3 linked regions of the Lytechinus pictus genome follow. The main gene of each other region encodes a partner of the protein of the gene in region 3 in a complex. Links are inferred from orthologs where the notes say so. Each region holds a gene or a part of one and is shown on either strand. Other genes may lie near its edges.

Region 1 (7,896 bases), on a different chromosome or scaffold from region 3:
TAACTGATAGAAAACAAAATGAAGAAATTACTTACCCAAATTAGGAACAGGCTGTGTTGCCCAGAAGTTGTAAGTCTTTTTCCTGGCTTCGTCCATGTTCTTTGCAGGCCCCTGTGGAACGAAAAACTCCATGGCAGCTTTTAGCTTTGACATGGATAGCTGAGGATTCTGAAAATAAGAGAGCAATACTGTTATAATGATAATATAGGGTATTTATATTGCGCACATATCCACCTTGTTAGGTGCTCAAGGCGCTCCTATATTACGCGGCTAAGCTAGGCGTTCACAGGGCACACAGCTTATTGAGGAATTACTTCCTACCGGTACCCATTTACCTCACCTGGGTTGAGTGCAGCACATTGTGGATCAGTTTCTTGCTGAAGGAAATTACGCCATGGCTGGGATTCGAACCCACGACCCTCTGTTTCAAATTCCGAAGACTTATCCACTGGGCCACAACGCTCCACATCATCATCAATCACCATTTTAACACAATTATTGTGATTATCACCACTCTAACAATCACTATCATCATAACCATTAATCAAATCTTTATAAATTATTGTCATTATCGTTATATCATGATCCTTATCATTTTCATGATTATTGTTATTGCAATAACTAATATTACCATTATTATCATCATATCCACATCATCATTATCATCATCACCATTACCATCACCAGCATCATCATTTCATTTTCATTTTATTCTGTTTTCTTTAATATCTCAGTTCAAAGATGTCAGCTCTATTTCGAGAAAATTTATTGTGGTTGTGAGTACCAGTAATCTTTCACAATTCAATTCAATTCAATTTCAATTTATTTCATTCATAAAAACACATAAATATACATAGTAATAAACAAAATATCAATATAAGAATGTGGAGACAGCTTAGAAGAACCAAGTCTTATACAGTGCTGCCACCAAAATGTAAGCACAAAAATTTTAAAATGAACATTTTAACATAATAACTAGAAAATAAGGATGATAAATACAAATACAAATTATTAATAATATGCCCAGATTCAGGCATCCTATTGGAAACTACCTATGCCAGCCGCACAGAAACGTTGTTAGTTAAACAAAGCGCTAACAGCAAGCCCAGTCATATCTTTCGGATTGTGAAGCCAAAACATTTGATTTCCACATGCAAGTAATGCATTGTTGTAACATTAGGCATCGCTGTCACATTGCCGATTGTATCAGAGCCTCCGTTACATGTAGCGCATCGTAAATGCTAACAACGTTTCTGTGCGGTCAGTACAGGAGGGATGCACAAGCCAAAAACATCTTCAACATATTCTCCGCTTGGTAAAGGCATGTGAATGGGGTAAATTGCCACTTGTGTCCATTTTGTATTAAATCTGGTCTCATCTTACATGGTTTAATCCTAGTTGGTCTACAACCTCTTTGTCTTCTGACGTTTTGGTAATGCATTGTCATTTAACCCAGTTAACCAGTTTCACTATTTTCAATTTTTGTCTAAAGCCACTTAAATCTCCTTCCTACAAAGAGTAAGACCTCCGAAAGACTGCTGTAAGACCATGAAACTTGCTTGATCTTTCAAGGGTCTTTCAATCAACTTTCAAAAGATCTCTGAGGTCTTTCACGTTTCCTGGTGGATCTTTCAGTGGTCTTCGTAGTCCTCAAGAAAATGTTTTTGGTGGTCTTTCAGGAGTTTTTCAATGGTCTTTCCATGAACTTTCAAAGTTCTTAATAGTCTTTCCATGATCTTTCGACAGTCTTTCAAGATTTTTTGGGAAATCACTGTAGGACTCGTGAGAGATCATTCAAAGATCATTGAAAGACCAGGGAGAGTCCATTGAAAGAATTCTTAAAGATCACTTGCTGCATAAAAGATCTCTGGAAGATCATTGAAAGATATCTATAGGACTTGTCTAAGTCTAGTAAGACAAAAAGTATCAATCAGTATTTCACAGAGTCGTCAAATTTCAGTGATCTTGGAGACTGCTGTTAAGACCTTGCTATTTTTGGGTCTTTCAGAAGTCCTTCCAAGGTCTCCCCTCTGTGGAATGGGGGCCTAATCTATGAATAGATTAACTGTTCACATGAACCAAATTTTCATTTGATAAAGTGCAAAACAATACTGTATGAGCCAAATTTTCTTTTGACAAAGTGTGCAAAAGGGGGAATTGAGACTATCTGGGCATTAGACTACTGTAAACAAAAAGTATTAGACAAATTGATTGTTGGAACGAAAGGTAATTAGACCAAATTGAGAGTACATGTGCACCGAGTGGGTTTAATTCTGATGGAATTTAGACTAATTGCAAAATCATATTGGATCATATTGGAACAGCTCAGGCATAGAAATCAAAAGATGAATAAAGGAACTACCTGACTAACACGGGAATCAATCTGGTCTACCCCCACTGCAGCACCGCCTGAAGCTCCATCTGCCTTCTTCTTTTTCTTTTTCTTCTTTTTCTTGTCTTTTCCTCCATCATCATCCGCTCCACCTGTGGCCCCTTGCTGACTGGTTGAAGGCTGTTCTTCGTCTAAATTACTGGTAGGACTATTGAAGGAAGAGAGAGCGAGCGAGAGAAAATGTAGTGTATTACAGTACGACAGTATACCATAGACATGTCCACTCCTCTGCCGTACTTTGGCAAAAGGAAGCAAGTTACAAATGAGAAATGTGTGTTTGTCATTTACATAGGCGTAAATGCAATTTAACATCACATTATCTTTGATCAATATCTTTTCATCGAACAATCATTTCTTCCCAAAATTTTGCCTGAACGTGCAATATAGAAAGTATGTTCCAGAAACAACTCAAATTCGACTGATGTGTCACTTGCTTCCTTTTGCCAAAGTTGGGCAGTCCTATAGTTCAGCTTTGGGATTCAGCTTTGGGAAAGATAGTTACCCCCTGAAATAGCCCAATTTGTACTCATACCCTCTCTTAGCAGAAATCCTAAACCCCCCAAGTTCAATTTCTCCCAAACGAAAAGATGATCTGTAGCATACTGACTAGAAACAAAGATTTTAAACCAGTCTGCTACAGGCCACTGCAGCTCTCAGTTACCTGGTAGTCTTGCAGGAAACTTCCAAACTTGTTGGGTATCAAAAGGGTATATATTTTCAACAGCCTGGAGGCCCTGGACACATTTAGAGGGTTTAATCATACTATCTACCTGCAATCATTCAGCATGGATTGAAATATTCAAACAGGTAATTGACAAATATTTTATTTTATCACTTTTCACAATCAATAATTATGCAAACAACTGAATACTTTCCATTAATATGGCAACAAGGATTGCTTGAAAGGGGACATCTTTTCATGCTTGATTTGAAATTAGGGAGGAGAAACTTGATGAAATATTTAGGTTTCTCCATTATCAAATTTTTCACAACTAAAGTAAGAGTCCTCTTTATCACTTCTCTGTCACTCACAGCCCTTATTTTTCTATCATCTTCTTTTTCTTTTTTCTTTTCTGTTTTCCTTTTTATCTTTTTTCTCCTATCATTATTTCTTTTAGAGCTTCTCCCCTCCTTTCACTCTCGAGCTCTCCCCCCCCCCCTTCTCCAGTTCCTTGTCCTCCTCATTTGTCTTCATTCTACTCCTATTTTGAATAATTCTTCCTCCTTCCTCTCCATCTTGTTCTTTTTTGTCATTTGCTATTCTTTTTCTTATCATTCTTCTTTGAACTTATTCTTCTTTTTCTTCTCCTCCTATCTCTTTCCTTTCTTAATGTCCCACCCTTTCTTCCTGAGTTCCTCCTTCTCTTAATTCTTTTTCTCAGTCTTCTTTTTCTTTTTTTATTTCCACCCCCTCCTCTGCTTCTAAGCTAAGTTCCATCTCCTTATTCTTCTATTTTCCTTCTTTTTTTAAATTCTTTCCTCTTATTTTTTTTCTACCTCCTCCCTTCTTCAACTTCACTCTTAAGTTCTCTTTCCCTCCTCGTTGTTGTTGTTCGATGTGGGTCATTTCCACACCCAAATGATGATCTCCTTGATCTTCAAAATGATCTTCCCTCCTCCCTTTATTCTTTTCTTTCCCTTCTCTTCTTTTCTTCCCCCCCCCATCTCTTTTCTTGATCTTGCTCTTATTGATCTAATCTCATTTTCAGACATAGAGTTAGACTCATTTTTATTTTATTTTTATCTCATTTTATTTCATTTCAAGTGGTATTTCTTCTTTTCGCTTAAATTTAAAGAATAAAAAATTATAAAGTTTTGCTCATTTCAATATTTTCTTCTTCTTTCACTTTCACTCCTCCATGGCATGCTACTGCTAGTAACTCATGGCATGACTGAGGACACCATCAAGAAGATTATTTAGGCCTAAACTAAGTAAGTGCACGATCAGTTACAAGACAGCCACCAACTTGAGCATGAGCGCCCAGGCCCAGCGCGATTACAGCTGGTGAGGTACTGCCCCGGGCGCGATCGGCGCAGGCCCGTGCGCGCGCCAGACCGTGCCCGTGCAGCTCAGTTGACTTGAATGAACACTTCCGAACACGGGCACACGGCTGGCCTGGACGGAAATGAAGTGCAGTCGTGCAGAATCCTGCATGTTGTCAATATGGTATTAGGGGATTTTAAGTGTATAGCTGAATAAACTGATAACTATTTCACTTACTCTGTTTCAGTTTGTGCTTCACTGCCAGCAGTTTTTTCTCCATTTGTAACAGGGTCAAGATTCTCTTCTGTCACCGTCTGCGAGTCCATGTTCTCCGCCATGTTTTTTGGCTAAATTGGTCAGATAATTTTTCTTTTTTAAAGAGTTGGAAGGGTCTAACTTAAAACGCATTCAGTTTAAAATAAAATTGATATTTATTTAATCACTAAATTATTTTTTTTCTTTCCTAAAAAGGATAAAAATATAATAACAAAATTAATAACAAGAAAATAGAGAAAACATTTTGCCCAAGCGCATGCGCAAAATGCATAGAGACGTGAAGCTTTATCGTCAACAACCCCGCGAATTTGTACCGTCCTAGATCATTATACCATTTAATTTGGAGGGAAATCGGTTTCTTTTGAATAAATATCACCATGAAAGGAAGTAAAAAGAATGCTGGAAATCAGGCAAAAGAATTCCACTGTAAGTATTAGGTATTTAATTAGCCCAAGGCCAAACTTATTCGGTACCTTCCGGAAGTTCCGACCTGAGTGAGGCAGAGCTGCGCCCTGCGACGCGCCCGACCTGGGGCCGGGCCCGATACCTTCCCCAGAGCTCCGGCACCGTATCGGACCCTAGGCTAGCCCCACTCACACAACATGCGAGGTTAGTATTACTAACCTCGCACAACACATGTGATTTCATAGTGCATTTTGACGTTTTCATTCATCACACGAATGTGAGGGACTAAACTACGCCAAACCTTTCAATATTTGTCCGCTATGTTAATCTTGATCGTATGATCAAGTTTTTATGAAAAAGCAATTATAAATTATTTATTAAAGTGTTTTTATCGCTTACCTCCAAATCTCAACCAGGATACTTCGCTCGGTCCGTCCTTAGTCATCCTTCGTACTGCGGTGGAAATTACGCAAACAACAATCGAAATGCGAAATTTTCCTATCGAACATTCTCGATTCAAGTCGTCGGCGCATAATAGGAAATTGTACCAAAAATCAACATAGTTCTCTATTTATTCAAACAATTTTTTCTGGGGTGCACTTGACCTTTAAGAGATTTTCCAATGAAAATATTACATGGAACTTGGAAATACAAATCATAATTTGGTTGAACAAAATGTTTTCTGTTAAAGTATAAAACAGAAGAGGAACATATCCTTCACGTATTTTTATATGTTTGCACAAAAAAGGAGAGGGAAAGGGAAAGGAAAAGGGAGGGGGAAAGGTAGAGGAGAGAGAGGGAAAAGGAGACCATAAAATAGAAAGAAAACAAAGGAAAGGAAGAGGGGAAGGGAGAGGGAAAGAAAAATGGAAAGAGCGAGAAAGGAAAGAAAAGAAGGGAAAGGAAAAGCGAAAAAGGGAAGGGAAAGGGAGAGAAGAAAAGAAGGGAGAACGAAAATGGGGAAAGGGAGAAGGAGAGGGGATAATGAAGGGGATAGGAAAATGTCAAGTTTGAAGATCTGAATATTAACACTAAAACAAAATTAGACTCCCATGTTTTATTTATAAAAATACCATCTTTTTCATGATTATAAAGGTTCAACGTCCCTGTTCTAGGTCTAAACTTCAACATAAATCTACTGGCGCTTCGCGCTTGAATTCTGGAGGTCATTCCTCTTTTAAAAGTATAGGTAATCTGTCGGACTTTTCAAATCCCAAATTTAAATCTTAAGCGCAAATGCCCTCGCATTATTTTTCATTTAGATACAGTCCTGTCATCAATATCAAAAACTCTAAGCGCGAGCTTCGCGCTGGCATCATTTTTGTAAGTGACATTTATGATGTTGTTCATATTTAAAAAATGTCCATTTGTTGAGGTTTAAATGTCCAAAAGTTCAGCGCTCGCATAATTTGTAAGGTAAATAGACCTACCCTTTTAATTGTTATACAAAGGCGCTTATACAACGTCACACAATATTTAAATAAAAGAGTTGCCAAAGCTGTAGTACATGTATAACTTCACACACACACATATATATATATATATATATATATATATATATATAGGTCTCCTCATCATGGTTATAATAAGTGCTCAGAATGTTTTATTTTCAAGTCCTTGTATCAGAATTTTCAGCTCGGGCAGCTCTATCGCATTTTGATTACTATCCTGTTGATTTATTTACTTGAACAAAATATTTAAAATGTCCAGCTTTTAGAACAGATATCAAAAAAAGGTATTCACCTTTGATCATAGATGAGGAAGAAGAAAAAAGTGAAAAAAAATAGGAAACAAACTAACGAATTAATGTGACATAATTTTTCTTCATTTCAAGGCGACTCTTTACATTTCATCATCGCTGATGGCGCTACAATAGAAAATACCGCTTGACAGCAAAAAAAAAAAAACAGAAAGAGGAAAATAATGCTGAGCGTCTAAAATGCAGCTAGCAGTACAAGCTGCAGAACCGTCGTAAACAAACATCTTGTGAATAATATCGCGCGCCCTCTAGCTCTTTAAGCAAAAGTTTACAACCACAATTACCCTGCGGTATCTACGTGAAGATCACGAGAAAATGCATTTTTTATCTTAAAAACACACCAAAGAGAAGACAAGAAACGATCCATATGGTTCGGTAAGTGTCATAGCACAATTAGAAACATTATTTTAAAAGGAATGGCTTAGTTATTTTAGTAAAAAGGGTGTGAAAAATTCGCGTGCACCATGTGCATATGAATCCTTCGCACGCGAGATGCATTGATCCCATGAGTGGGCTAGCCCAAGCGTTTTGGCTTTGCCGGCTTGCCGCATGCAAAAACAACATCCCCGCAAACAAACAGGCTGCGGGATGCTGTAAGCTCCAGAGACCATACCCCACTCAGGAGGATTTATAAATAAAAAAAATTAAATATTGTATAATTCACACAATAAAATTAAAAACAAAATACCGGTACTTATATAGTGAGTGAGGCATCATCATTCTCATTTGACAGTACTGTCAGTGTCAGTAGAGGCGCACGGCCAATATGGGAGACTCTCTCCAATACTAATACTAATAGGGGAGACAATCTCCCACATTGGAGACTTGCTTTGCAAAAGGACAAAAGAAACAACACCAACAAAAGCATGATTTTTTCCACCCAAAATTTTGTCTCACTGAGGTCAGAAGCCCATTTGTTTTGTGTGTGATTGACAACAAAAATCCTTATCAAAACAAAAGTAGACGGTGAATTTTAAAGTAGACGGTGAAAAGGGGTAATTTTTCATGAGGAATCTGCTTATCACATTTTTATTTGCCTCCAAGGTAATCCTTTTGCAGCAAATGTAAACAAAGGAAATT
Region 2 (7,638 bases), on a different chromosome or scaffold from region 3:
ATTTAGGAGATTTTAATGGAAGTTGGGGGGGGGGGGGGTGTTGTTAATTCCTCCACGCAGTACCCCGCTCCTATCTGCAGAATACAAACATCTTGTAACTTTATCACTTTAGGCCTCTTGCCACTGCCATTCCATATAACCTCCTGGCCTTGTATTACATATATTTTGTTGTAAGATGATTGATGACAGTATAGGCCTACATAAAATATGCACAAAGCGTGCTCAGTGGCGGTTGTGGACACCCCTCCCTCACTCCCCTTTGATGATGGGGGGGGGGGGGCAATTATTGTATTATGGGTTTCAAAATAATAAATTAGAGTGAAAACAGTGGCGTTATGAGCAAAAAAAAGGTTGTGGGGAACAATATGGCATGTGTAGGAAAACTTCGAAAAAGTCGCAAAGCGGAACTTGTTGCCCTTATTAAATGAAAATATGATTCTATGATAGATTATGACATAATATTCAACAAAATAACGTTTCACCCCCTTCCTTTCATTTTATTAGTTTATTTCCTTGCTGTTCCTTTTTTATGGTTGAACTTTTTTTCGGGGGGGGGGGGGGGACAACCCCCAGCCTCCTAGATCCTACGCCAATGGGTGAAAACGCATATTAATGACCTTTCATTTCCAGTTTACCCAAATACCGTGTGTATTAAATAGTAAGTTTCAATAGTTGATGTAATCATTTCGTGCTCGGTCGCCGCGCCTATTTTCATGTTATATGGTGCTGCTTGTCACAGATTTCGATCCACATGATGAGAGGATCCAACTTTCGCCAGGGGGGGGGGGGGGGGGGTATTTTCATACAGAATTCCCCAGATTATTTTTGAGGGGGTAGTCCTAACTAAAAATTGAAGTTTAAGGAAATATCGTGACATTATTCTTACCATAGATCCATGTTCTTACAAGCTAGATAGGTATCTCATTTAGCCTTAATAAATATTGTGAGCACGATCTCGGGTTTTTGAAATATTACATGTTTTAAGGCCTGAAAATTGAGTATTCTGAGCATTCTTTTTTAAATTACGATCAAGATTTTTATCTAAATAAATTTTGAAATTTATATACTGACCGAAAACTTAACACATTTTAAAGCACATTTTTTGTAACCAGGACTATGGTACTAAACAACTGATAAGAGCGCGAAGCGCGAGCTGAAAAATTTCGGAAAAATGTTGTTTGATATAGTAGAGCCGAAGGGGGGCTGACCACGGAAAATAAATTACAATCAGGGACACGTTGCACTAAACTTTTGCCATAAAAAAACTCTGGCAAACAGAATTATGCCATTAAAACTTACACATTTAAAAACTCAGGCAAAAAATGTCCATATAGTTTTTCTTTAATGCATGCATCAGGGCCCTGGTGGTCACGTTAACGTTTTTAGCCCTCCAGCCCGGTTGTTCTGTGGCTCTTGTCATGATCATTCTGGGATTGAGTTAAGAACGACAATTTCATCCATCCTATGTTCTCCCGATTATTATTTCAGTCGATAAAGACAATGGACTTTCATTATCTCCATCCAAGCAAAGATCGCTTAGATGGTGGCAGCAACCGTGTTTCAGAAAATGTAACTAAGGCAATGACATTGATCACGGACACGTGACAGACAAACAGAATACCACAAACCTTTTTGCTAATCAACAGAAAAACGATTTTGGTCGCTTGTTATTCTTTTCCATCTGCATCCATGCCACATTCCTAGACAATGGTTAAGCATGATCTAATCAATATCAAAACCTTGTCTTGTTCATCATTATTAGCGCTCCAAATGATTTGTCGATAATTTCACGTCGTCTAAGAGCTTTGGGATGTTTTGTTCTCTACAAAGGTATCATTCAGATGTTAAATGTTTTCTTTGAGGCTCAACTTTTATTATTTTTTCCAATAAAATGAAAAGAAACGTACCCTTTTCTGCGTTCATGCCTCATAATATTGATGAAAGCTTGTAATATACGAATTTAGCAATAGAATGTGTTTTGTTAGTTTTCTTCAGTGTCCAGGCGAAACTCATGCACACAAAAATAAGATAACACTTTAAGATATTTAACACTACACTTTAAGATGTTAAACTCTACACTTTAAGCTGTTTAACACGAACAGTCTACGGATAGCTGTTATTAAATATTTTTTTATCGACAGTAGATGAATGATATTGATGATAGATATTCATAACGAATCACTACTCTGTGTTTGGACACAATCATGAGCAATTATTGAAGGGCGGCAAATTTTCCCCTTTTCACACGCTGACCGAGGTGGGGTGGCAACGATTCGACCATCTAACATGTCTTATGCACTTTCGCAAAAAGTGGCAATTAAACGCAATGTGCAAAATGCAAACCAAAAAGAGACTGACCTTGGGGGGGGGGGGGTCGAATAAGCTTGTAATGAATTAAATTTAGGTATAACTTTTAATGCGTGCAAGCAGGCTCATGAAATGAGAATGAAGATGAAAATAAAGCAATAGAATAAGGGGAACTAAAAGTTTGAAGTTCGGTATAATTCGAATTAGGGCCGAGGGGATATCGTAAGCGCTTAAGAACTGCCATAAACAAATTGTTACAAATTTAGATTAAAATTATGGTTTAAAAGTTTAAACATTTGTTAAAGTGACGGATTTTAACTTCGTGCTTAAAATTTTAACACCTTTTTTTTTTTTTTTTGTAAGATGTGTGTCCAGGCAGATTGTGTGTCCGGATAATCAATTTTGAACAGTCATTTGAAAAAAAAATAATAAGCGAAGTTTCATCAATATTTAGTACAAAATATTAGGTAATATTACAGAGAACAACATAGAAGACGATTACAACTATTGAATTCATATTTTTAGTGTAATCCAAATACAAAAAATAAGGCTTCAAAATCATAAAGACAGTGTCCGGACACCCGATCCCCCTTGCTACTTACCACGGACGGATGTGGGTTGTTTCTAGGAGGAGAGATGTGACCATGGTAACCTTGCCACACCCTCCATATCGTCGCTGGGACATTGGCCGATTTCCCGGTCTTGGGCTTGATAGATTCCAAGCTGTAATCTTGGGCGTACAAACTCCCGTAGCGGTCAACGCCGGCTGCCTCGTCTTCGGGAAAAATCTCCCAACTGTCCTCGTGCTGGTTTTTAATTTCTTTTGCAGCGCATTTTGCCCCCGGTGTGGGTAGCATGTGAATGCACGCTGCTGCCATTTCGGTTCCTTCCGCTTAAAATATTAAACTATTGTTAAAATATCATTACTTTAATTTAATTACTTAACACCACCTTATCCGGGGAATGTTTTGTTTACTAATGTCCACTTCATGAACTTGTCGCGTCGTAATGACCATTGTCTTTGATGCATTATGTATACAACTGACGTCACAAAAGAAAAGTTTTGCGCGCACGCGCGTGTAATTAGAGGCTCATTATTGGTCCATTTGCCTTTATCACCTGACATTGGTAATTAGTCACGAGGTATTGATTTATAGTCTGCTATGCCATTGCGGTGGTTGAATGCACTACCAGTTGTATAAGTTTCTACATTATCATTAATGATTTAACGATCATGATTCCCTTTCACCCAGTATTGCTGTGGGTGATAAAGCGTCAGAAATTCAATATTTAGTTTCATTATCAAAGACTGTGTCCAAAAAAGACAACTATCGTATCACCTTGTCCAGGATTAAGTTTAGGCTTATGCTAGCATTTGGTTCTAATATCTTTTTGTTTTCATGTCGTGAATGATGTCCTTTCATTTTAATGAAAACTTTAAAATCCATTAATGGGGGATAATCTGCACTTTTTTTGTGCTATCAATATCCCCTCTTGAAAAAGAAAATATTTTAGCTGAACAGTGTGTTTGTTGTTCCTTGTCTTCACCAGTTATCAATGTGACATTCTCTCACAGTGACAGAAAAATACATCATTTTCTTTGTATTGTTTCAGTGTTCTATTGGAGGCATATCACTATACGGTATATATACATTCCTACATCCATATCCTAGTATCGTTTATGGTGACAAAACACCCCAATAACTCTCCCTGATTAACAATTTATAATCAAGAGCCTCCGTATTCCTGTCTAACCAATCCGAATAACATTGCCCATCATCATGGCCAAATTAAGAACCCACTTTGTATTTGATACTTTTGCCATGTATTTTTTTTTACTCGCACTATTGCAGTGAAAAAGCTGTACACTTTGGACCTATTAAAAAGCACAACAGACAAAAGAAAAAAAAAAGGGGGGGGGGGTACTCCTAATTAAGCCGCCTCCGAGGGGCCAGCTCAACATTGATGTGGTTTAAAAAAATGCCTGTACCAAACCCCACTTGGGCCGCGGAACGGTTTTGAAAGGGTGTGGGGGGGGGCTGACTATGCAACAAACCACAATCAGATGGTCATTTTTACGTTTTTGTACACGGTTTTGGAAAAACAAAGTGGGGGGCTGTGTTATCCGCGGCCCCCGCAAAGCTAAGTGTACGCTTTCGTGAAATATTTCAGAAAAAAATGAAATATGTATTATCGTCCATTATCTATTCTGAGTTTCTTATACGTTATAGCTCTATATACTCGCCCTGAATATTTTTTTTTCCGACGAATTCGGCGTCAGCGTCTTTGCGCGCATATTGGTCGCAGCTGGCGCTATCGACGATCGGCAGTTGCTACGGGAAACGTGCGACAAAACAGCCTTCGTCGATCGCAAGCTCTCGTTTCGCGGATTTCGTACGTGTACAATACACGGGAATCCAATACAAATTTTGTGTGTAGATTTCCTATGCAGAGCTAGCTAGCTAGATTAACGTAAACAATCTTCACTACGAAAAGATACATGGACTTGGCAGCGAGATTTCTTTGAAAAAGACTTGTTTCTGTTGATATTTTTACATCTTTAACTTTTGGTGAAGGACAGGAAAACTCACGAAAATGCCGGGTGTCGGCAAAACAAACAGCAACACTCCGATTACGGAGCAAATATCAGAATTGCAGCGTAAAATCTCCTTGTTGGGTGAGTAAAAAAAAAAATCATTTTGTGACTTGTCATGTCATGTGCAATGTAAATTAAATGGGGATGTAGAAATTGAAATAAATTGATACGCCCAGATCTAGATGACCATGACGTACTCTCATTGGTAACACTTAATGAAGTTTTTTTTCATAAACACAAGGGGCCATATTAAATTGGTAATGCAATGATAAAGTTTGACTTTGAGTTGAAGATGTTCAGAAATAAATGGAATCTGGACTGAACAGAACAGTGTCAAGACAAGCGTGAGTGAGAGAGACTGAACTGAAGTCAGTGAGATGTTATTTGTTAGGATCTATCAACAAAAATAAGCTAGGGCAGGTATTAGTCTATTTGAGACGAGACCAAAGTCAATGATCAAATGGATAAAAGGTCTTGTTGATGATTAAGTTTGGCAGAGGCCAGGGTCGCTGGCACATGTGTGACTGACAGTTCAAAAGCAGACTTGTAAGGGCTAAGCCTAAGGCAAGGATGGTTGTTCCAATGTTATCGACTACGACTACGTGGGATACAGTCTGGGGAGGGTAGGCCTAGTACTAGTAGTAAAATGAAAGAAATTGTGAAATAATCAAAATTGACAAAACGTAATGTTAAAGTCCTAGGCCTACTTGGTTTCCTTAGCTTAGCCTTAATTAGGGCTTTTAGTTAGGCTTAGATCTAGAATCTACATGTAGGCTGTAGCTGAATCTGTCTGTTTGGAGGAGTTTTTTGTTTTCACCTCCATACATTCTAACACATGGTCATGGAGGATGTGTAGTGACTAAAAACATCCAACGGAATTGGGAACCAACAACATCTGTTGCCATGTTGGGTTCCTGGTCCTGATCCTCAGGTGGATATTGATTACCAATAAAGAGAAACAAAAACTTTTGGTCTAGGAGACTAGGTTCTCTTTGACACGCTTACTATATTGAGGATGGTAAAAATCAGATAGGTCTATTGATCTTGGTGTCAGGAATTGATAAATAAATCCACAGAACAAAAGTTACATGTAGAATCTGTTCAGCATATTAGATGCAAAGATATTGGTATCAATTTGAATAATTTTACACATTGGATCTAATACTAGTAATACGCATCTGACTACATGGTTAAACTGGTTGATGAAAAATGGATGCCATGTTTATTAGAGTTTATCAATATGATCATTCCATTAATGATGTTTAAAGTCATATGATTTTTTTTCATATATTGTTCCATGTACATGTACCTAATTCAGTTCAATGATTATTTTATTTATTAATATTTGTTTAAAGATGGTGACAGGAAAGCATATTACGAGAGTTCCCAGTGGACCATTAAGCAGAACCTTGAAGTCATCCGTAAGTTGCGACAGGAAAACAAGACCCTACACAAGCGGCTAGCAGCAAGCAAGGCGGGAGATGACCGGGTACTGGATATTGCCTTCAAGAGTCGAGAGGTGGAGCGCGCCTCGCTCAGAGGCAAATCTGGACGGGTGGGTAACTTAAATGTTTCTTAACCCATTAGGTGCGAGTATATATGGGCTGCCGCTGGAGTCTATGGAAAACTTGTTATAGCAAAATCATCCAGTCTGCAACGGGTTAATCTTTCATGAAGTCATGAATAACCTTTGCAGCTTGGTAAAATAAAAAGGAAATCAGAAAAAAAAACCTTTAATATTGATCTTAATTTTGTTTTGTTTTTCAAACTACTCTAGGAATCAAACACCAGTTATGTACATGTATGCCACTATTAATTGATAACCAATGTTGTTGATAACTTAATGTTTTGACCAACATAAGGTATGCTAGTAAAACGTTATTTCAATTTTAATCTAGAGGAGAGTTTGGTCCTTGCATACTCCTAGTCTTAGTTTGGTTTGTTCAATCAGAAAAGTACTTGTACAGTATGATTATGAGAATACATGTATGATTTAGATTCAATTATATTCCTGTCTACCTCTGATATTGTGGTTATACATGTAAGTTTCTTTGTGTGTTTTTTTTTGCATATTATTATTGATAAGAATATCAGCTTAATAGATGTATCAGTTAAAGCTTTAACCGAATATTTTCCAGGGAAAGGTTTATAGTAGGCACATGCTGATAATTATACCAAGGTTTAACCCTAGTCTAACTTTAAAGTAGAATTTTAACCACACTTCTATTGAATGCTGGCTTCATAATATTTCTTCCATATTCATGGCAACTGTATTGTGCCAATCACTTCATTAAAATTCATTATATATTTGTATTTTCCTATTCACCCCATTTCAGTTAACTTTTGAAAACTTTTTTTGCAGCAGGATGAGAATAATGTTTAATTGGAGAATAATAAAAACTGGCACTCCATATAAGTGTGGTCGAATGCAACGCAGGTTTAACCTAACCATGGCTATAGAAATACATGTACCTCCCATATTGTTCAGTTACTGTCAGTGGGTCAGTGGTATTTTTAAAGTTGATCTCCCTCTTCCTAGTCTTTTTTCTTGAATTAGACATTCTTATGTTTGACACAGATGGGCAGGTATTTATTTCAATTATACCTTTAAAGAGAGTACATGTATTTTGTTTAAATTTGTTAGTGATAACAAAATATATCCCTTTATTGTGGCTTTACAGGAAGCAATCCGTATCATGGACCAGAAGGCGTGTGAGGCCAAGAAAAAACTCAAT
Region 3 (7,697 bases):
GTTTGACTGATAGTAAAATAATAACCTTAATTTAATTGTTATTTCCGTGGCGATGGCCTGTCGTACACCTTTTATGATTTTCAGCGCGAGATGGCGTTAACATTTTCTTTCTTTTTTGCGCATGCTCTGTAACGTTGCTAAGGTAAACCTATGTAGGAAATGCATGCATATCGCATATCGCATATATTGTTTACGTGAAATTCGTGTGACGGACTTTCGATCGAAGAACCAGGCAAAGGACAGAGGGCCGAAATAATCAATATTATTCATCTTTCACCAAAGTTTTGGCCTCTTCCACAATGACGGAGGGAGAAACAAATCAAGACTCTTTTGCCATTTATATGGCAGAAGGTGATGTTCTGTTTAAGCAAGGAGAGTACAAAAAAGCATTGCATAGTTACTCGACGGCATTGGTGAGTTGAGCTGCTTTCCGTGAGTGACCGAGTTTAATGTGGACCGGGTGGGCCGTGGGAGAGAGTCAGACTCAGAGTCAGAGAGAGGAAAAAAAAACAATGAAAAAAAAAACAGAATGAAAGAAAGGGTGATACAAATACAAACTTGAGTCTTCACATAAGCTTTGGAGAAGGGTAGAGACTAGTGTAGTGAGTCCTTTTGTTGTCTGGTGGAAAAATATGGTGGAAAATAGCGAATTTTGATGACAAACGGCTACAGATCAGGATCGGTCATGTTCTTCTTCGATTGCCGTCAGTGCAGCTACAGTAATAAAAGTTAGATCTACAGCAACTGGGCGTTGTGGCGTGCGCCTGTAATCCAAGCTGTGGGGAAGTTACAAATTGACGCAGGGGTTCGAGCCCTGGTCACGTCTTTCGGATGGCGACGTTAAAGGTCGGTCCCAGACGTAAATAATCATATCTGATTGATACACGTCTGACAAAACTCAAGTACACACACAAATACACACAGCTGAGCGTACGAACGTGCCAGCCAATCCGCTGGCACTTCTTCTGTACACTCGGCTGTAACTTATTGTACATGTAGCTGACAGCGATCGAACAAGAACCTGGCTGACCCGCCCCGATCTGTTTGTCATCAAAATTCGCTATTTTCAAGCATATTTTTCAGAAGCTGATTCCATTATAATTTGATATGAATTCATCTTTATCATTTCTTCCTTTTTTCCCCGTCAAAAAGCAAAATTTAGGAATAGATATTCTAGATCTGATCGAGGAGGGTGCAAGAACGCACTCTTTCTCCAGACCATAGACGCTGTAGCTGTAGTTAAGCGACGGTTGTTTGCTCCACCATTTACAAGCCCAATGGCCGTCATCCGTCTGTGTAGGAGGACAGAAAAAAATCAGAAAATGTTGAAAAACTCCTCTGAAACAGCGGATTTATCAGTCTAATCCCTGACAGAAATAGACCTGTTTATTGGTCTATCCAGGCCTGGGTCTATCTAACGTTAGAAATAGAATCTAGATCAAACTTTATAGAGTTAGATCTAGATCTATAGCAGTATAGGTCTAGATATTGAGGAGTTTTCAGAGGTAGTATATAGTCTAAGAGTGCAGTGATTGTGAGCAGCAGGAAAAAACAACCATCGAACTCATCCTGGGAAGTCGATGGATCTACCATCGAAGAGAAAGTCAGTCACCCTCATCTTGGTATCCTCAAGTCTGGAATACGATTGGATCCAACTGGCGACATTATTGGCACCGGTATTCGTACTTTCTTTGCTCTCACTGGTACTGGAGCATATACCGGAGGTCTGGTTCCTACTCTTGTATCCCAGCTCTGGAAAACTTTCTGCATCCCTAGAATGCTGCACGGGTCCTCTATCCACAAGTTCACTAAATCTATGCTTGTAAAGTTACACCGGGCTCAATCCCATCTGTTTAAGCAAGTTCTAGGGATCCCAAAGACTGCTGCCGACGAGATTGTCTACCTCCTCACTGACCTCCTTCCAGTCTCATCACAAATAGATCTCAGGAAACTGCTGCTTCTAGGTCAACTCGTCAACCTCGATCACAGCCGCTTTGAGTTTAGAACATTCCTGGAAGCCCTCAACTTAGGCTCTCCTACAATACGGCTCTTGCAGGAGATAACAAAGAAGTACAATCTTCCTGATCTTCACAGCATTCATTCGAATCCTCCCGTATACTCATCTTGGAAGAGATTGGTCAATTACAGAGTGAACCTGCTGACCAAACACAACACATGTCAAGGAATCCTTTCCAAGCCATCTCTTAAGTAATGGCAAGATTGTATACCTCCTGCTGCTAAACTCCTGTACCTGAAAAGTGTACCCTCTCCTGTCTTACGAAGAGCATTTCATTTGTGGTGAGAGCTCAACTCCTCAGAGCCACCTTACTTAACACAGTGTCGTCTTTTCACGCTGAAGAAATCAACCAGTCGCACTTGCCCTCTATGCAAATCTGCCGACGAGACTGTGGAACATTTTACTGGGCAGTGTCCCAACCTAGACCATCTCCGTCAAGTGTTTATTGGCAAAAAATAGAATCTCCAAATTGTTTTTATTGTTCAGCTTTCCCAGAGACACTGGTCCATTTGTTTTGTGAATGTCCAAAAATTACCCCGCTTTGGCAAAACCTATTATCTTTAATCAGTACAAAAATAGGAGGTCACCTAAATTGGACAACTTTTGAGAAGATGTTTGGTGTTTCTAATGATTCAGTTCACATGAAATGTATAAATTGTTTAGTACTTTATCTGAAATTTTATATATACCGTTGCAGATTTAAAAAACTGGAACCAAATTTCGACGCCTTTATGATTTTCATCAACTACAAAAAGAAACTTGATTACAAAATAGCAGAGAAAAGAAATAAATTGGGTATTCACTTTAGAAAATGGTCTTTTTCATTTGAAACTTCGAGGCCTCAGACTCAGTCCTGATTCTTTGGTATTTCTGTACCAGACATGTTCTTAATCAGATAGTGTGCTTCTACTATTTTCACAATTTTCTCCTAATTGTGTGTGTTTTTATGTACAGTCAGTTTATTACTCATTAGTGCATAGGCTTTTTGTTGTTGTTATAAGTATGTATGCTGGCAATTCTGTAAACGTGTTGTGTTTGTATATTAACTTGTATATATGTTAATAAATATATAAAGAAAAAAAGAAAAAAAAGGTGTTTATTGGCAAAGTCAAGGACTGCCTTATGGACTTCCCAACATGTGTCAATCTATATGTCAATGCCAACCCACAGGACTTTACTCAGGCTACCCTTATACCATTTTACTCTTGTTTGCCCAATGAAGTACACAATAGTCTACTTTTATCATCCCTCTTTTTCCTCCACAAAATTCCATTCTGATATGGTTCAAACCTCCTAGCCAGAATGACAGTGTACATGGAACAAATCTGTTTTCCTTGGACCCTAGGAATCTCCAAATAGTGGAGGGATCAGTTAAGAGAGAGAGAGAGTATAGAAGTCTAGACTATGGCTTTGCTAAAATAAAGCAGCACAGTGATCCGGTAAACGGGCAAGGCTTTGATTTGCTACGACTAAGCTAAGTCTAGCCAACGTCAGTAGACCTAAGTAGATCTACTTAAGAGTCTAGATCCAAGTATTTTTTTTAACCAAACCACATCTTAAACTGGGTGATTACCCTACATCTCTCAATACAGATTACCAATACAAGTTCCCTTTTCAAAGTCCCCCCACAGAAGTTAAAATTTTCATGTTTAGAATTGTTATCTTGTCTATTTTGAGAGAAAAAAAAATTAGGATGATACAATGCAGGGACCCATTTGGTTTGACCTCATTCGAAAACCTCCCACAGGCTCTAAGTGTTTTCATGGATGGATGACAGTTAGCTTGAACTAGAGGCTTTAGTCTTATGACAAAATATTGCTTACTCAAGCTGACATAAGAAGATGCCTGACTGCATTATGAGTAATTAGCTTGCATTGGCAAAATTTTTCAACTCTGCTGAAGCTTCCAGGCATCATGTAAATGTACAATGACCCTGACTTCTTAAAAGTGAACCTGTTCAGTTTGTGTTGAGTTTATCAAATTATTTAATATACAGTTTCCACCAACATTTCATAAACATTAAAAGCAAATGGTTGAGAGAAGCCATTCATGTCTTTGATGAAAACCATAAACATTGTGTCATCTGTACATTACGCAGTTCTTGTTCATTCCTGAACCTGGAGTGTTGGCCCAAATTTATTCTGACTTGAGTACTAATGAACCAACCATTGTGGAGGTGTGGGGGGGGGGGGGGGGGCGGTGATTGTTTCAGCAATTTCCATTTTGATTTGTCTTCCAAAAAAGTAGATTACAAGCAAAATGCTAATTAAAGAATGCCTAATGAACAAGATATTCATAAAGGGAATGAAAGTGAAAATTTATGTTAAAGACTATATTGCACATTAAAATACTCTAATACATGTATACCGAGATATTTAACTGTGATAGTAGAAATTCAGCAGAGATAAATTTTATTTGAGAATTTTAAACACATAGGACCACGCTACCCTTCCCTTCTCAATAAATGGATTCATCCACTCTTTATTGATCACTTTGCAAATGGAAATCAATATACTTTCTAGCTGGTACATTCCCTGATCAAGTCTATAGAGATACCCCTTTCCTTTATCCATTGTTATCCATTGTTGAGACCTACTCAATGATGCATTCATGAATATGCATGAGGTCAAGAAGACATGAATATGCATTGCTGTTTGTTGCTATGACTTATCTCAAAGGGGCTCTTCATGCTGTACATGTAGTGTAATGGCTGCCTGCTGAAACACAAAGACTTGCACATCATCTTGGATATCTGTCACTGTACTGAAGTTGGATATTGGTTGGATATTTGAAGGAGCGAATTTAGATCCATCATGGATGAATATGTGGATCCCATGCAAGAGCGGGAGGAGCAGTTGAAGCTCCTGCAGTCGTATATAGGAGAAGCGGAGGATCACATGAGAAAGAGAGATTACAGACGTGCAATGGAGGGCTATAATTTAGTATGTGCATGTTGGATGTGTGTGTGTGTGTGTGCACATACATGTAGCAAAATGTCAATTGAATTAAAAATAGTGCTTGGGTTTTTAAGAAATCATATTTATCCTTATCCATGTCCAATTCAAATTTTCTATTAATGAATTTCACCTACCATTGACTTGTTTAAGAAAGGCAGATCTTGCTCATGCTGATTTTTTTAAAATGAAAAACTTGGTTGTAATTGTTTTGCAGGCAACATCGTGAGATTCTCCCATTGATCAAAATATAGGGAGATAATCATTATTTATGCCTGGCATTTATAAAGTTGTATTTTTAAAGGCACACTATACTTTAGCTTCAAATTATTCTTCCAGCGCTTGTTGTATTCAGGGAATTAATCCTGCTGGGTGCCCATTCATGTCACCTTTGTTTAGTGAAGTAAAAATTTTCTAAATTTGATATACTCTGTATGCAATGGTCCAGAGCAAAAAGTTTTGTCAACACAAACACATCTGGCAAAAATACATGTAGATATAAAGGTAAGTTTTTGTGACTTTGTTTTATAGGCCTACATGCATTGTAATGCACCTAGTTTGAAATGGTTAATTTTCATTTCTTTTCTCTTGTTATTGTTTTGTAGGCTTTAGAAATAGAACCCACAGACAAGAACTGCTTGGTTGCCAGATCTAAGTGCTACCTTCAACTCGGTGATTCCAAACAAGCATTAAAAGATGCTGAGGCAGCACTCTCAGATGATAAAAACTACATTAAGGTTAGTCATAAAGCCCTCCAACAGGAAAAAAAGGAATAAACAATAAACAAATTTGATTAAAAAACAATTATTATAGGTGATAAGCAAAAAAAAAATCAACATATAAAAAGAGGTGATCTAAAGGATAACAGAATGATATGAACTTAATGAAATATTTTTCTTATAAATGGCCTTTGAGTAATATAGAATTGACATTAAATTGTGTCTGCCAATATGATTTTGAGTGGAAAGTTGACCGTTCCTCCTAAATAGATATTTTCATTCAACTCTGTTTTCCTTTGAGCGGTATCTGTGCTGATTATAACATTTATCACCTTAATGGACTTGCTGTTTTTTCCTGTTTCTTCAATGATGAAAGTGTATAAAGCATATTGATTTCAATTCATTGTGGTATTAACTGCACATACAGCCAGCTGTAGAAAATGGTCAAGAAGAAATATTCATTAACTTATACATGATTATATTCATTTTCAGTGCTGTATCTTTTACAACAAGTCAAGAATCAGAAGTAAAGTTTAAGAAATTTTAACAAATCATTTTAGCAAAGCCATATGCTTTTGTGTTTATTGGATAGGCTTATTGATGTTTAATGAAAGATTTATTTCACTTTTGTTGATATTTTGCATACACCTTTCTGGTATGTATTTTTTCTTTAACAGGGTTTATTTCAGAAGGCTGAGGCGCTTTATCAGATGGGAGACTTTGAGATGGCCCTTGTCTTTTATCACCGCGGCAATAAATTTAGACCAGAGCTCCAAGAATTCCGTCTTGGCATACAGAAAGCACAAGAAGCAATTGAAAACTCAATAGGAAGTATGTGAACTAGTTTACTGCGCTTGATAGAATACATGCATTATACTTCTAGTTATGTCACTTAGCTGATTTATTTTGAGAGATATGATTAAACCCCATTCGCATTCTGTCAAGCAATAAATGAAATAAAGCGACCTTCATCATTACATTACAAACACCTGCCCAGAACCAAACATACATGTAAAACTTGTTAGATCTACATAAAACATTTGAAGTAAAAATATTAACATACATGTATGTTGGTACATGTATACTCGTAGCATGCACTCTGTAAACAATGAATTTTTGCCCATTTGGGCTTTATCAAGTGTTTAATGAAATATCAAAATGCGTCATATAACATGTCTAGTAAGTAGCGTACACTCTACTGAAGCCCTTTTATTTATTTATATTATCTCTTCTTCTGAAACCAGGTCCTTCCAAAGTAAAACTAGAAAACAAAGGGGATTTGTCTTTTTTCAATAAACAAGATGAGGTGAGTTCTATTGATAAGGAAGCTTTCTTTAGAGGTATTTACAATGTTTTTTGCTATCAAGACTAGGATTAAAATTTTGTTTAGAGACAGTTGAATGAGTAGTTTCACTTTGAAAATAAAATTCATATTGAGAATCAAGCCATCTGGCTTCTGTATATTACAAAGAGTTGCAATATATTTAATTCAAACTTGAATTTTGATTGATAGAAATTACTTAAGTAGTAAAATCTAAAATACAAATTCCTATCTCTTCACTACACAATTTTAGATTGCTTTGAATCAATCGCAATTTGAGTTTGATTGGATCTATCACAACTCTTTTTGTAAATGGGATGTGGGGTCTGTTTTTTATATTGATGAAAAACATTGTAGTCATCACTGTTAAAACTTAAATATTTTGTGCTGGTCTCCTTTCTACTTGGTAATGTGCTTAGTTATCCTGAAGATTGAATTTATGATATTGAAGGTATTCGTGTAGAGGTTATTAGTAAGGTGACACGACGCACGCTCATGCAGCATTTGCTTCTGTCTCAATATCTCAGAGGGCATAGGGTTAGAGTTTAGGGTTGGAATATAATTTTTTGTTCTGAATAATGCAAAGATAAGGATCAGGGGGCCGTTTCATAAAGCTGTTCGTAAGTTAAGAGCGACTTTAAGAACGACTGGTGATCCTTTCTTACGCGCAAAACCATCGCTAATGA

The links. The genes of interacting proteins can lie anywhere in the genome.
Region 1: outer dynein arm-docking complex subunit 4-like (region 3) and calaxin-like share a complex: the UniProt entries of both Homo sapiens proteins name them as parts of the outer dynein arm-docking complex. The link is inferred for Lytechinus pictus from reciprocal best matches to the Homo sapiens genes ODAD4 and CLXN.
Region 2: outer dynein arm-docking complex subunit 4-like (region 3) and outer dynein arm-docking complex subunit 3-like share a complex: the UniProt entries of both Homo sapiens proteins name them as parts of the outer dynein arm-docking complex. The link is inferred for Lytechinus pictus from reciprocal best matches to the Homo sapiens genes ODAD4 and ODAD3.

Annotation. Positions count from the first base shown.
Region 1 is NC_087257.1:8,581,741-8,589,636, forward strand, and holds the start of calaxin-like, read left to right. Parts: upstream 1-4,891; 5' UTR 4,892-5,029; coding exon 5,030-5,078; intron 5,079-7,896. Other genes in the region: glycylpeptide N-tetradecanoyltransferase 2-like, read right to left, coding at 36-168, 2,363-2,540, 4,614-4,714. UniProt on the Homo sapiens protein: Component of the outer dynein arm-docking complex (ODA-DC) that mediates outer dynein arms (ODA) binding onto the doublet microtubule. Seems to regulate the assembly of both ODAs and their axonemal docking complex onto ciliary microtubules.
Region 2 is NC_087259.1:10,445,890-10,453,527, reverse strand, and holds the start of outer dynein arm-docking complex subunit 3-like, read left to right. Parts: upstream 1-4,633; 5' UTR 4,634-4,902; coding exon 4,903-4,984; intron 4,985-6,258; coding exon 6,259-6,458; intron 6,459-7,584; coding exon 7,585-7,638. Other genes in the region: uncharacterized protein LOC129277736, read right to left, coding at 2,910-3,185. UniProt on the Homo sapiens protein: Component of the outer dynein arm-docking complex (ODA-DC) that mediates outer dynein arms (ODA) binding onto the doublet microtubule. Involved in mediating assembly of both ODAs and their axonemal docking complex onto ciliary microtubules.
Region 3 is NC_087245.1:21,557,402-21,565,098, forward strand, and holds the start of outer dynein arm-docking complex subunit 4-like, read left to right. Parts: upstream 1-4,686; 5' UTR 4,687-4,830; coding exon 4,831-4,959; intron 4,960-5,576; coding exon 5,577-5,708; intron 5,709-6,367; coding exon 6,368-6,521; intron 6,522-6,934; coding exon 6,935-6,996; intron 6,997-7,697. UniProt on the Homo sapiens protein: Component of the outer dynein arm-docking complex (ODA-DC) that mediates outer dynein arms (ODA) binding onto the doublet microtubule. Plays an essential role for the assembly of ODA-DC and for the docking of ODA in ciliary axoneme.